2 linked regions of the Oryza sativa Japonica Group genome follow. The main gene of each other region encodes a partner of the protein of the gene in region 2 in a complex. Links are inferred from orthologs where the notes say so. Each region holds a gene or a part of one and is shown on either strand. Other genes may lie near its edges.

What was found. Proteins that work in one complex are often made in the same cells at the same time.
Region 1: the proteins of F-actin-capping protein subunit alpha (region 2) and probable F-actin-capping protein subunit beta are in contact, whole or in part, in a crystal structure (PDB 4AKR), measured with the Dictyostelium discoideum proteins. The link is inferred for Oryza sativa Japonica Group from reciprocal best matches to the Arabidopsis thaliana genes CPA and CPB. Residues at the interface, in XP_645243.1 of Dictyostelium discoideum: Leu7, Ile10, Phe14, Asn17, Pro19, Glu22, Glu25, Val26, Asp29, Val30, Ala32, Leu33, Leu34, Tyr125, Asn127, Glu128, Tyr129, Tyr130, Pro131, Thr154, Cys155, Ile156, Tyr157, Tyr163, Ser164, Gly165, Arg166, Trp167, Val190, Asn191; in XP_647630.1 of Dictyostelium discoideum: Lys4, Gln5, Cys8, Cys9, Asp11, Leu12, Met13, Arg14, Arg15, Leu16, Pro17, Pro18, Gln20, Asn24, Gly27, Leu28, Asp30, Leu31, Val32, Ile103, Phe104, Ile106, Tyr107, Leu110, Tyr111, Phe112, Glu113, Lys136, Thr137, Gln138.

Annotation. Positions count from the first base shown.
Region 1 is NC_089037.1:15,464,897-15,470,718, reverse strand, and holds probable F-actin-capping protein subunit beta, read right to left. Parts: upstream 3,821-5,822; 5' UTR 3,762-3,820; coding exon 3,633-3,761; intron 3,249-3,632; coding exon 3,178-3,248; intron 2,805-3,177; coding exon 2,691-2,804; intron 2,536-2,690; coding exon 2,453-2,535; intron 2,367-2,452; coding exon 2,305-2,366; intron 2,201-2,304; coding exon 2,081-2,200; intron 1,298-2,080; coding exon 1,202-1,297; intron 1,083-1,201; coding exon 999-1,082; 3' UTR 639-998; downstream 1-638. Other genes in the region: co-chaperone protein p23-1, read left to right, coding at 127-191. UniProt on the Arabidopsis thaliana protein: F-actin-capping proteins bind in a Ca(2+)-independent manner to the fast growing ends of actin filaments (barbed end) thereby blocking the exchange of subunits at these ends.
Region 2 is NC_089041.1:13,229,609-13,235,612, reverse strand, and holds the start of F-actin-capping protein subunit alpha, read left to right. Parts: upstream 1-2,013; 5' UTR 2,014-2,250; coding exon 2,251-2,335; intron 2,336-2,430; coding exon 2,431-2,546; intron 2,547-2,874; coding exon 2,875-2,964; intron 2,965-3,710; coding exon 3,711-3,775; intron 3,776-3,870; coding exon 3,871-4,032; intron 4,033-4,470; coding exon 4,471-4,549; intron 4,550-4,638; coding exon 4,639-4,716; intron 4,717-5,451; coding exon 5,452-5,526; intron 5,527-5,606; coding exon 5,607-5,642; intron 5,643-5,763; coding exon 5,764-5,871; 3' UTR 5,872-6,004. UniProt on the Arabidopsis thaliana protein: F-actin-capping proteins bind in a Ca(2+)-independent manner to the fast growing ends of actin filaments (barbed end) thereby blocking the exchange of subunits at these ends.

The DNA.
Region 1 (5,822 bases), on a different chromosome or scaffold from region 2:
CATGAGCATAGTAAACTGAACTTTCCAGGGATCTTAATTTCTCATAACAAGAACTCTGTATATTCAACTTAGTGAATTCGCCGAGAGGCAATTACCGAACTAACTTTATGCTTCTGCAATCTGCAGATGATGAAGACATTAAGGCAGAGGGGAGCGGGGAACAGGAAGCTGCTGGTGAAGCGAAGCCGTGAAATACCTGAGAGTTTTAGAACGCTATGCTTGACTTGTTTGTGACGCTGCCAGGTCTTAAGATTTTTTTGGTGTAAACTCTGGAGAGTGGATCACTGCCACTAAAGTAAAGTAGTAGTTATGGTTTAGTAGCTCCATTTTGTTAAAAAACTTTGTGCATTGCACACTGTTCTGTTATGTGAATCGCCATATTTGCATCAACCATTGCAAAGCTATCCAGCCATTCTGTGTTTCATACTTTTACTCATAGCGGTTTGGTGGCATGTTCCATTTGCCTTGTACTTTGGAACTTGCATAATTGTTCGTGACTGTAAAAATAAACTGAAGTATCCAGCTTGCTCAATCCATATTGTTACTGCCTGATCTACATGTTATACAACTAATCATGGAGATCACTGACAATTTGTTTTCTAGGGAATTCAAAAATCTCAAAACTATTGATGATCATGTAAGCAGATAACCATATTCTTGCATTGATTTAACAAATTGTAAGGTCACAAGAAGATGTAGATCTTCACAAAGATGACAGAATATTGCTCTCAGGGGCAGTGACAACGAGTTCGGCAAATGCAAACTCCTGCTCCCTTTTGCTTAAACTCTCTGTTACAGCTGCCATGAAGAAGCTTTGCCCAGTTTCCTCACAATTCAATGGAGAAGACACTCCTATGATGGCTCAAAGTGGTGTCCATTTTAGAGACTGCTACTATTAAATACAGATCAATTACGAAAAGAGACTCTAGGTCGCTAAGGAGATGATTGCAAGACTAATATATAGTTCTTGTGTTAAAAATTCACATCTCTGCGTTTTCTCAGCTGTCAGGTAGCCTCCTGTTTAATACTTCGGGTGGTGGCCGAAGCGTGCAAACCATCTCTCTGGTCTTCCCAAAATAAACCTGCCATCATAGAGATACAAAGCATTAAGAAAAATACATCTACGCAATTAATCTCACACTAAAGAAACAACTTAAATGTGAAACTGTTCTTTCTTTGACGTGTGATGTGAAACTGTTACCTGGTCCAACGAATTTCTGAGCTTGCCCTCCATTTCTTCTATCATTTTTCCCATATTAACCAGGTGCCCATCTGCCACAGCAAGAGTCATACTCATCTGAAAAGAGAACAGGTGGTTCAGGATTAGGTTGCTTGGATTTTCCACAGCTTAGCAGAGTCTCCTAATAAAAAGAAGTGTCTTAAGAACGAATTTTTTTATTATGTTACTGATTCAATGATTGTGCCACAAGAAATCTGCAAATTGATAAGTTATGTCTTTATAAGTGTTGCTTGTCTTTCAAAAAATAAGTGTTGCTTGTCTTTCTAGGCTTTCTAAGTTTGCAATTAACTTGTAAGTTTAATTCTCCAGAACACTTTTGAAGAATTCATCTATTTCTTACTCCTTGCGTAGGTGATCCCAAAATGTGAGCCAATCAAACATTTTTATGTTTGATCACCATTGCACGGAAAGGTGTTTACACTTCAGTTTGGCCCCATAAAATTAAATTGTTATCGCTAGCTTTATTGTCAAGTACTCATTCATAATATGTATCTTCTGTATCTAAAAAAAAAAGTATCTTCTGTGATTTTTGATATTATGATAGAAATTTGTGGCCGAATTGTAGCCTTGTGACCATGCAAGGGTCTAAAATTGTGAGAGCAAAGTTGCTTTACATCCAGAACGACATGTCTTAAGACTACTGATACACTATAGAGGTACATGTGTAAAGCTATATTGATGGTTCAAATTGTTTTATTTATGCACAAAGTCTGGGTTCTACAAAGTACTGAGGTAGTAATACACATCAATAACTGTGGAAAACAGGGATGAAAGATGCCCTTGAACTAAGGGCAACTTAATATGACAAAAAGGCGGATAAGACAGGAAGGGAGATGTTACCTGCCGCCTGATTGATCCCGACAAGTTGAAAGTTCCAGATTGCTTGTTATCTGTTGTCAATGATAGCATCACAGTGCTGTTCAAGCAGTAATGCGCTGCTCCTTCTTCTTCAGGACCAACCTGTTAAAGTTACATAAATTTTCAATGAGTACTACAAAACAACATAGCCAGAAACTACCAGTAAAATAATCAGCGACTGCATGAACAGTTTTGTCTTAAGCCACCTGAATGACATGAATAGCATCCCATGAACCAATCTGCATGTGCCCTCTTTTTCCTTCTCCATCTGCAGCCACATAACAGGAATACTAGTTAAAGAATTTCAGATTATCTGGTCAAATAAACGAGATCTCATCGAGTGTTCCTACAGACCTTTCTTTATTAAGAAGCATGCAATAAAACTCTCATCTTCATCCTCCCAAATATACACAGAAGAGATGCCACCTTCGTAATACCTATTTGTCAATAGGAAATTGTACTACTTACTTTACATGCACATAGCAGATATAATCACCTGTATGCTAAATTGAGAAATAACGCAAGTGCAAGCAATAACATTATTCCATGCTGGTGCTTAGCATTACTGAATCAAAGAGAGTATGAATCTTACTGGTCACGGTAGACAGAGAAAACATCATTTGCCTCAACTTCAAGATTCCTCATCTCTTCGGAGGGAACTGTTCCATCTTCCAAAGGAGGATCGTATTTGTTTGACCAAGGAGACCTGCAAGCCATCCCCACAATCAACAAATCGGGAGCTACAATACAGACTGCCCAACAGTTAACATCCCCCCCCCCCCCAACTTAAGTGTCCGTGGTGATGAGAATCATAATTAAATGAAAGCGTTTGCAGGTCTTTGCATTGGTTTTCTCGATTGATGCATTTGCTTGTTAGTCAATTTGTAGAGCGAGTACAGGTATAGCTGCAACTATCACTAAGCTGCATTCCTGAACAATTGATTATCCTGTGTGCCTGCCTCCGCGTTCTTTGATACTGCTTGAAGCTTTCGGTATTCATAAGGTGGATGCTTTTCGCAACACTCACAAAGAAGAGATAACTATAACAGAAACCGTGAGCGTATCGACGGATCGCTGACCTGTAGGAGTCAGCGTCACGGTTGTACTCGCATAGGATGTATTCCTTCACGCTCTCCTTGTCCATGCAAACCTGCAATTCTTGCACCATTTCTATTAGGAAAAGAACGTGGCAGCGCAAAGAGGAAAGAGAGAGACGCACACAAAATGAGACGAAAGGCATCCATAGCTACAAAATTTGCGATCGGGTCGCGCGGATTCTGGTTCGAGCACCTAAAGGGTACATTGGAGCAGAGCGATTCAATTCAATTCGGCTGGACCGGCTCTCCACACAAAGGCAAAGAAACGCCCGTTTCTTGTAGAAACACACCGGGCCATTCTCGCGAGCAATGATTAAGACACCTACTTCCATCTCTCTATCTGTGAATCTTTTCGAGTAACAAGAAGAACATCCCATAACCAAGAAACTGGAGGTAGGTAGTTGTGACGCGATGCGATAAGAGGAAGATATAGGCACCTGGAGCGGGAGGTCGACCTGGGAGAGGAGGTCGAGGGAGTGGTCGGGGATGAGGGAGAGCAGCGCGTTCAGCGCCGTCTCCGCCCTCCCCGGCGGCATCCGCCGCATCAGATCCATCGCCGCCTCCATGTCCGCCCTCCTCCTTCCTCTGTCTGATATCTCCCCCCTTTCTGGCTTTTCGGCTGCGTGCCGGCCCTGCCGCTGTTGCTCTCCTCTTTGTGGTTACTCTCCTCCTGTCGCTTTTCTCCTCTTTTCTTTTTTTTCTTCTTCTTTTATTTAAACTCTGTTATGTTGTTCTGAATTTTTGTGTGTGTGTGTTAGAGAGCAGTGTGCCAGTGATTGCTCCTGATCCTTCACGATCTAAATTTTCTGTAGACATGCATCCAAACTTTCATGTAAAGAGAGAGCTTATCTAGACTTAAAAGAAAAGGGAGAGAATAAAGGATATTTTTTTTAGAAAACTGTAAATTTAGTAAATTTAGTGACTACAACATTAGCTAACTAGTATTTCAAATTGTTGTGATTGCACACAAAATTATCACGAAACTGCAACTTCGAGATCACCCTAACATTGGAATACACTTACTTTCGCTTAGTCCCATCTCTATCGTTGCTAATGTTGCTGACACATTGGGCTCACATGTCATGACGGAAGTTCCTGACGTAGGCGAAACAACGAGACATGTCAGTAATATATGAATCAAAAAGAATCAAATCTCATGGCCGGTTTAGTAGGTAAAAATTTTTGTTTTGGGGAGTCACATCGGATATACAGATACACATTTAAAGTATTAAACGTTGTCTAATAATAAAACAAATTACAGATTCTGCCTGGAAACCACGAGACGAATTTATTAAGCCTAATTAATCCGTCATTAGTAAATGTTTACTGTAGCACTACATTGTCAAATCATGACGCAATTAGGCTTAAAAGATTCGTCTCGTGATTTCTATGCAAACTGTGCAATTACGGAGTAGTTTTTTCTTTTGTCTACATTTAATGCTCCATGCATGTGTCCGAACATTCAATGTGATATTTTTAGGAAAAAAAATTTTGGGAACTAAACCAGGCCTCAGAGGGAGTACGAGAGTGACAATTGCCACTGTGATAGCTGTGTTGGGAGTCATTTCAGGTATTGCATACCACACTAAGGGCCTGTTTAGATTCCACCCTAAAATTTTACACCCTATCACATCGAACACTCAAACATCTGCATGAAGTATTAAATATAGGCTAAAAAAATAACTAATTGCACAGATTGCGACTAATTTGCAAGACGAATATTTTAAGTATAATTGCTCCACGATTTGACAATGTGGTGTTACAGTAAACATCTACTAATGACAGATTAAATATGCTTAATAAATTCGTCTCGCGGTTTACTGGTGGATTCTATAATTAGTTTTTTTATTAGTGCCCAAACACCCCATGCGACACCCTATATAATATCCAATGTGACACGCCAAAACTTTACATTCCTATCTAAACACCCCCTAAACTCAACGTGGGCAACAAAGCCTTGTGTATCGTTGGCCTATTTTTCATTGCTTGGTAATACTTCGTTGTATTTTTCACTTGCTTATCTTAGGCAGGAGAAAAGAAAAAAAAATCAAGACCCAATAGAGCATATGTACTAGCATTTCAGAAGACGGTATGGGGTAAGTAGTAGCACGAGCCAACCACCACATGACACTGAATTTAGCAAGAGTAAATAAATGGTCGCCATCTTGCAGCTAGTAATCACTGTACAAGCAACGGCATGGAGAGCTAAGTACTTTTTGCCCCTTAACAATCGAACATTGCTTAGATGCAACTGCAAGTATCCATCATAACTGCATTACGTTAGCGACCATGTTACCGAAACATTCTGTCCCTCCAGGGGAAATATAATATGAACTAGACAAACCGATATTCATCTGATTCATATTAGGGCCCCTTTGAATCAAAGGATTTATGTAGGAATTTTATATGATTCAAATCTTATAGGAAATTTTCATATTTGGCCCTTTGATTCAAAGGATTGAAGCTTTCCAAATCCTATGAAATTCCTATGGAATGGCACATTGCATGTGGATTTTGGAGGAAATTTAGCAAGAGCTCCAACCTCTTGAAAAATTTCCTTTGAGTCCATCTCTCTCATCCGATTCCTGCGTTTTCCTGTACTCCAATCAAACGACCATTCCTGTGTT
Region 2 (6,004 bases):
CTAACATGCATAAATTGCATATGATGTATCTAATACATTTTGTTTTATTTTCCACATATTCGTTTTGGAGGAATTTTAAAAAATTTAAATTTCTAAAGATTAATTCCTATAAATGCTGTTCGGTTCATAAAAATGTTGACATAGAAAAACCAAAAGAAAAATTCCTTTCCTACAAGTTGTACAGAAAAACTATAGGAAGGTTTTCATCCACTCAAACCTCTTGAAAATTTTCTATGGGTTGAAGTGTGCATACATTGTTGATCTTTTTTTTTCTCCAATTCCTTTGGAACGACTTGGCCCTTGCTAGCCAAGTCACTTTGACACCTTGACCCGATTCAAACAAGGGTTAATTGGATACATGCCATTAAAAATTTGCTGGTTTTAAAATATACCACTAGTATTCATGTATTTGAAAATATGCCATTGTAATTTCACACATATTCAAAAGATACCACTACTTACCTCTTGGATGCATTTCCAGAAAAAAAATAGACCAAACTGCCCCTTTTCCCTTCTTCTTTCTTCCCCTTTCTCCTTCCTCCTCTCTTCCTTCTCAGCGGCGCGTTGGCGGCAGCAGCAGCAGATGCGGCGCGGCGACGACAGCAGCAGCAGTAGCAGCATCGATGCGGTGGTGCGGCGACGAGCGGCGGCAGCAGCAGCGGCGTGGCACAGCAGCAGTGGCGGCCGCGGCGGCAGCAGCTGCAACAAAAGGCGGCACGGCGACGAGTGGTGGCAGTAGCAGTAGCAACATCGACGCGGCGGCGCGGCGACGAGCGGTGGTAGCAGCAACAGCGGAACCAGTTGGCCATGGCGCTCTCGGCGTTCGGCAGCGTCGCCGCGGGGCTCGTGGCAGTGCCGGTCACTGTGTTCGGCACTGGCATCGACGAAGCCGTGCTCGCCAAATCATTCAAGACCGATGTGCCCACAATCCAGAAGCTCAAGGTGAACCTGAGTACCTGACTCCACCCAACAAGCCCTAATTAAGCACGCTTGCTAATCTTCTCTCGCCATTGTCGAGTGGCTGCAGTAGTAGGGCCACGGCGGCAGCAATGAGCTGTAGCGACGGTGAGCGGCGGCATCGCGAGCAGCATTAGGAGTGGTGGGGATGGAATGAGCGGCGCAGCGAGGGGAAAGAGTTGAGGGGTAGAAAATGGGGAAGAGAGAGAGGTAGAAGATGAGAGCATTTTCATTCAATACATGCAAAATACGTATCTCAGTGACACCACTAAGATTTCAAACAAGTAGCAGTGGTATCGTTACAAATATAGACAAATAGTAATGTTATATTTCAAAACTGCTAAAATTTTAATGGCATGGATCTAATTAACCCTTCAAACAATGCCCCTTTTCCCAACCCCTTTCTCTCGTTTTCCGCGCGCATGTTTTTCAAACTGTTAAACGGTGCATTTTTTTAAAAAAAAGTTTCTATACGAAAGTAGCTTAAAAAATAAATTAATCTTTTTTTAAAAAAAATTAGCTAATACTTAATAAATCACACGTTAGGCCATGTTTAGTTCCAAAATAATTCTTCAAAGTTCCAACTTTTTCATCACATTAAAACTTTCCTACACACATAAACTTCTAACTTTTATGTCATATGGTTCCAATTTCAACCAAACTACCAATTTTGGTGTGAACTAAACACGGTTATTGCCCCGTTTTCCAGGCTCAAGCAGAACCAGCGAACACACCGTCCTTTTCTTACAGAAAAAGCCTGCAAAACTGCAACAAAGTAGTCCTCCAACTCCAATCCATTAATCTCAACCGCATGTAAAAGCACATTCAAAGGTCAAAATATGACAGGTTGCTTTACATCACGTCAGTTTAGCCTTTAATTTAACGTTATCTGTTCTTCCATTCCCATTAATCCGCCATCAATATGGAGCTTTTCGTTAATCAACTCCAAAGCTACCATCTCGTCCGTCCGATCGGTACGGCGATCATCGTCCACCACTAGATCGATCAGTGAGGCAGAGACCTCTCAATCTCTCGCGTCCCTCTCGCTCTCTTCCCGCTATTCTTCTCGTCCAGATCTGGACGTCGGAGCACCGCCCACCGCTCGTCCCCACCGCGGCCGGTGCCTCGCCGGCGGCCGGCTCGCCCGCACTGCCTCTAGGTCGTAGGAGCACTGCCAGCTCGCCAGTGCGGCCGAAGAGCGGCACGCACTGCCCCCTCGCTTCTCCCCTCCTGCCCTCTCCGCGCACCCGACATCGCCGCCCCCCACCCACCACAGCCTCCACGGCCGCCCAAATGTCGGACGGTGAGGAGAAGAGGGAGATCGCCGTCTGGTTCCTCTCCAACGCCCCCGCCGGCGAGATCCACTACGTCGCCAAAGGCAATCCCCCCAACCCCTCTTCCTGACCCTCGCAATCCAAGCTGTACAGCCCCGTGTGTTTCGTTGTTTGATTCCTCTTCGGCGTGGGCGCGCAGATGTGCGAGCGCTGCTGGGGGACGAGGCGGTGTACGAGGCCGCCGCGGCGGAGGCCTTCCCGGAGCACAACAAGGCGCACCTCGTGGCCCTCGAGCTCCCTGACCGCAGCGGTGATGTGAGCACTGGGCCATCTCCTCTCCTTGCCGACTTTTGCCGTCGCGTGTTCTCACGTGCTCGAAATTGAGTGTGTTCTATCTACTGTAGGGTTGTGCTTGTTGTAGCTCGTAAATCAGCGGTTAAGACTTAGCAAATCTGGCTTTTAGGTAGTGATTAATAAATCACTTGTGGCTATTGTGTTTGTTACTTTACTTTTATTAAATTCAGTAAGCTATTGGTGTTTCTCATTGGTATGTTTATGAGCATGAGACTATAGGATGATGCCTTAACACTCGAGGGTGGGTGCTTGCTGGCCAGACATTAAAACAATGTGTCCTCGCGCGCAGATAATTATCACAACTTATGGGGAGCTTGACAAGAACAATTATCTGGATCCTAGGACTGCTCAAGTTGCTACAGTGGACCATATTAAACAGGTAATGCTGCAGACTTTACATCTGCTTATCCTGGATTTAGTTCTTAAGCCAGCTATGCATATTTAACATAGAATCTTTTAAAGTAAGAGAACATATATAACTACTAAACAATGGATGGTCATCTTAACTTATGGTCTATGAACTATATGAAGCAGTTTCACGTCTGTAATTTAATATGCACAGTATCTTGAGCTTGATGGTTTGACTATTCTTATTCATTTGATGAATATTAATTGAGAAATGGATCCAATCACAGGATATTGATACTGAACTATCTTTCTTGAAGAACATGTTACATTGAATATAGTCCACATAGATTAGTATTGTAACTGAACTCTGCATGTAAAAGTTTGATCCCACAAGTTTCTACTTTTTTTATTTACAGTGTTAACTGAGGAATAAATTATGACCATAATTATGAATTTTCTGGACATAGATTAAGTTACCTATTTTCAATGGAATAGCATAGATGTAGGTAAAAGAGCTTTTCATTATACCTCAAATAGTACATCCAGCAGCAGCTGTATTAAGCTTCAGTAACTAGTATTACAGGTTTCTGCCCAATCCATTTTGTATTAACTTGTGTTACCTCTAGACAATGGCTTTCATTCTCTAACACCGGGTTAGATTGAGATGTTTGGTTAAGTATTTGTTTTTGAAATGTCTATAGTTTTCTTTGTTCATTTGAAACATGATGTGTCTGCTTTAATTTAAGTCACCATGTTTTTTGTTTTACATGTTAAAAGAAATGTACAAAATTGAGGCCAGCTGCTGATGAGGAGCTTCCTTCAGCATACATTGAAGATTTCAGGTACCATAATTATGCTATTCTTTTCCCCAAATTTCTTGAACTCCACATTGCCTTGCTAGTCAATTTATGTTCTGCACCTTTTGTTATGGGTGCAGGAGTGCCCTGGATGTTGAATTATCCAAATATGTTGGTGAAGCTTATCCAAAAGGGGTGTGTGCTGTTTATTGTACCAGCGGAAAAGATATAGAGGGACCAGGAGTTGATTTTCGTTTTGCAGCAGTTATTTCTGCTGCTAAACGCAGCCCACAAAACTTTTGGTATGTTGTCTGAGTCTGCATTTTCTCTGTTGTTACAGATACTTGCCTAGTTTTCTCTAATCTTGAACTTGTTTATATGTCCATTTTGTGTATCTCTTCTATACATTTTAGATCCTTATTGAGGTTTCTAGAAAATTTTGGCATTCCTATGAGAAGCTATTTCATATTCAACTTCTGGATCATAGGTTTGCACATCTGTGAGTGTTTAATTCTTTATTTTCCCTTTGAACTAATCATGTGTTTTGTGGGTACCCTCTTTATCATCTTCCCACAATATTATGGTGTCTTTAGTTTTTATGCAGAAAAGTTTAGAATTGTGCTTTGGCTGAATCCTTGCTTCACATAATCTGTTACTAGAGTCGCTTAAGTCCTCTCGTCATAGTTTGACATTTCATTATTTATTCACTGATGGAGACAACTTTGTATTGAGTCATCCAGCAACGGCAATTGGCGCTCAATTTGGACTCTGGAATTCATAGATGGATTACAGCTTGTCGAAATTAAAGGGAAAATACAGGTTTGCTTTTACTTAGCTAGCGCTAAAACATGGTTAATTATTGTTATTGTAATTGAAGTTGGTAACTAAGATACATGTGCATATACCAGGTAGGTGCTCATTATTTTGAAGAGGGAAATGTGCAGCTGGATACTAACATCGATTGCAAGGATTCCACCATATTGCAGGTTAGTTCATACAATACCTATTTTTTTTATCCTGGCATGTTATGAACGATTGATGGCATCTGCTTCTTTTGACCTCGTGCAGTAATCCACACACTATTTCATCGTTTGTTGTTTTGCTGCTTTAGGTTTACGTGCTAAGTTCATTCTACTGTTCAATATATTTTGGAGAAAATTTTCTCCTGCTTTGGTATGATTTGCTACTGAGTTTTAGAGAATTATATATACATGTATACCCTGTAAACTTAGTTGCGCATGCATAAGTATGTGCTCTGCATTCATGGATGAAGTACAGTTTATGTTACTGATAGATTTTCATAGAACCTTAAAAAATTTATATCTGCACTATGCTTAATTGTGTTGGGTTGGTGCCTGATACTTTGAGTTGTTGTCGATATTCTATTGATGCAAACTGTTAAAACAAACAAAGTTGAAATTTTATTTATCCTTTTTATTTCCTGGGGTGAACTGAAAGGATCAACTTATGATTGAGTAGATTTTTTAATATAAAAATTGCACGGGTAAATTTTGCCCCTATTTCATTTCCTTTTTGGTTCTGGAGTTTTTGCATGTGCTTGTCCGGAGCATTTGTGTATGTTAAGCGTAATGTTTTGTTTAGAGCTGCATTATGCTTGCATCATTTTGCTTGCTTTGTTTTTGCTTGTTTTTAATCTTCACCAGGCTGAAAAATGCGAAACCCTTAACTGTTCTTTTCATGTGCTATTACTCGTGTTTCAGTCTCCTGAGGAATGTGCAGTATCAATAACTAACATCATTCGGCATCATGAGTCAGAATATTTGTCATCACTTGAGGTTGAAACCTGTCCCTATTTGTTTATTCAAGCTTATATGTTAACATAATGAGTAATGCCATTCTTTTCACTTGTGAACAGGAATCATACATGAATTTGTCTGATGCAACCTTCAAGGTACACCAAGGAGGCAGTAACAATTTAAGAATTTGCATGATAGTTATAATGCTAGTAAATTTTGTTGCTACTTTTACCTATCCTCTGCTCAGTTGTGTTTACTGGTTATATATGTGCACAGGATCTTCGAAGGAAACTTCCCGTTACTCGTACTCTTTTCCCATGGCACAACACATTAGCCCTCAGCCTTACAAGAGACCTCACCAAAGAACTGGCTATAGGAAAATGAAGCTTGTGGAGGTCAGTTCATTAGATTAGCTTTGATATGGATTTTTTTTTATCTCCATGCTATGTGTTGTTCTGTAGATCCTGCAATTCATATCCTGTAGCCAGCAATTCTCTTGTTTTGATTTCTGGGCTTC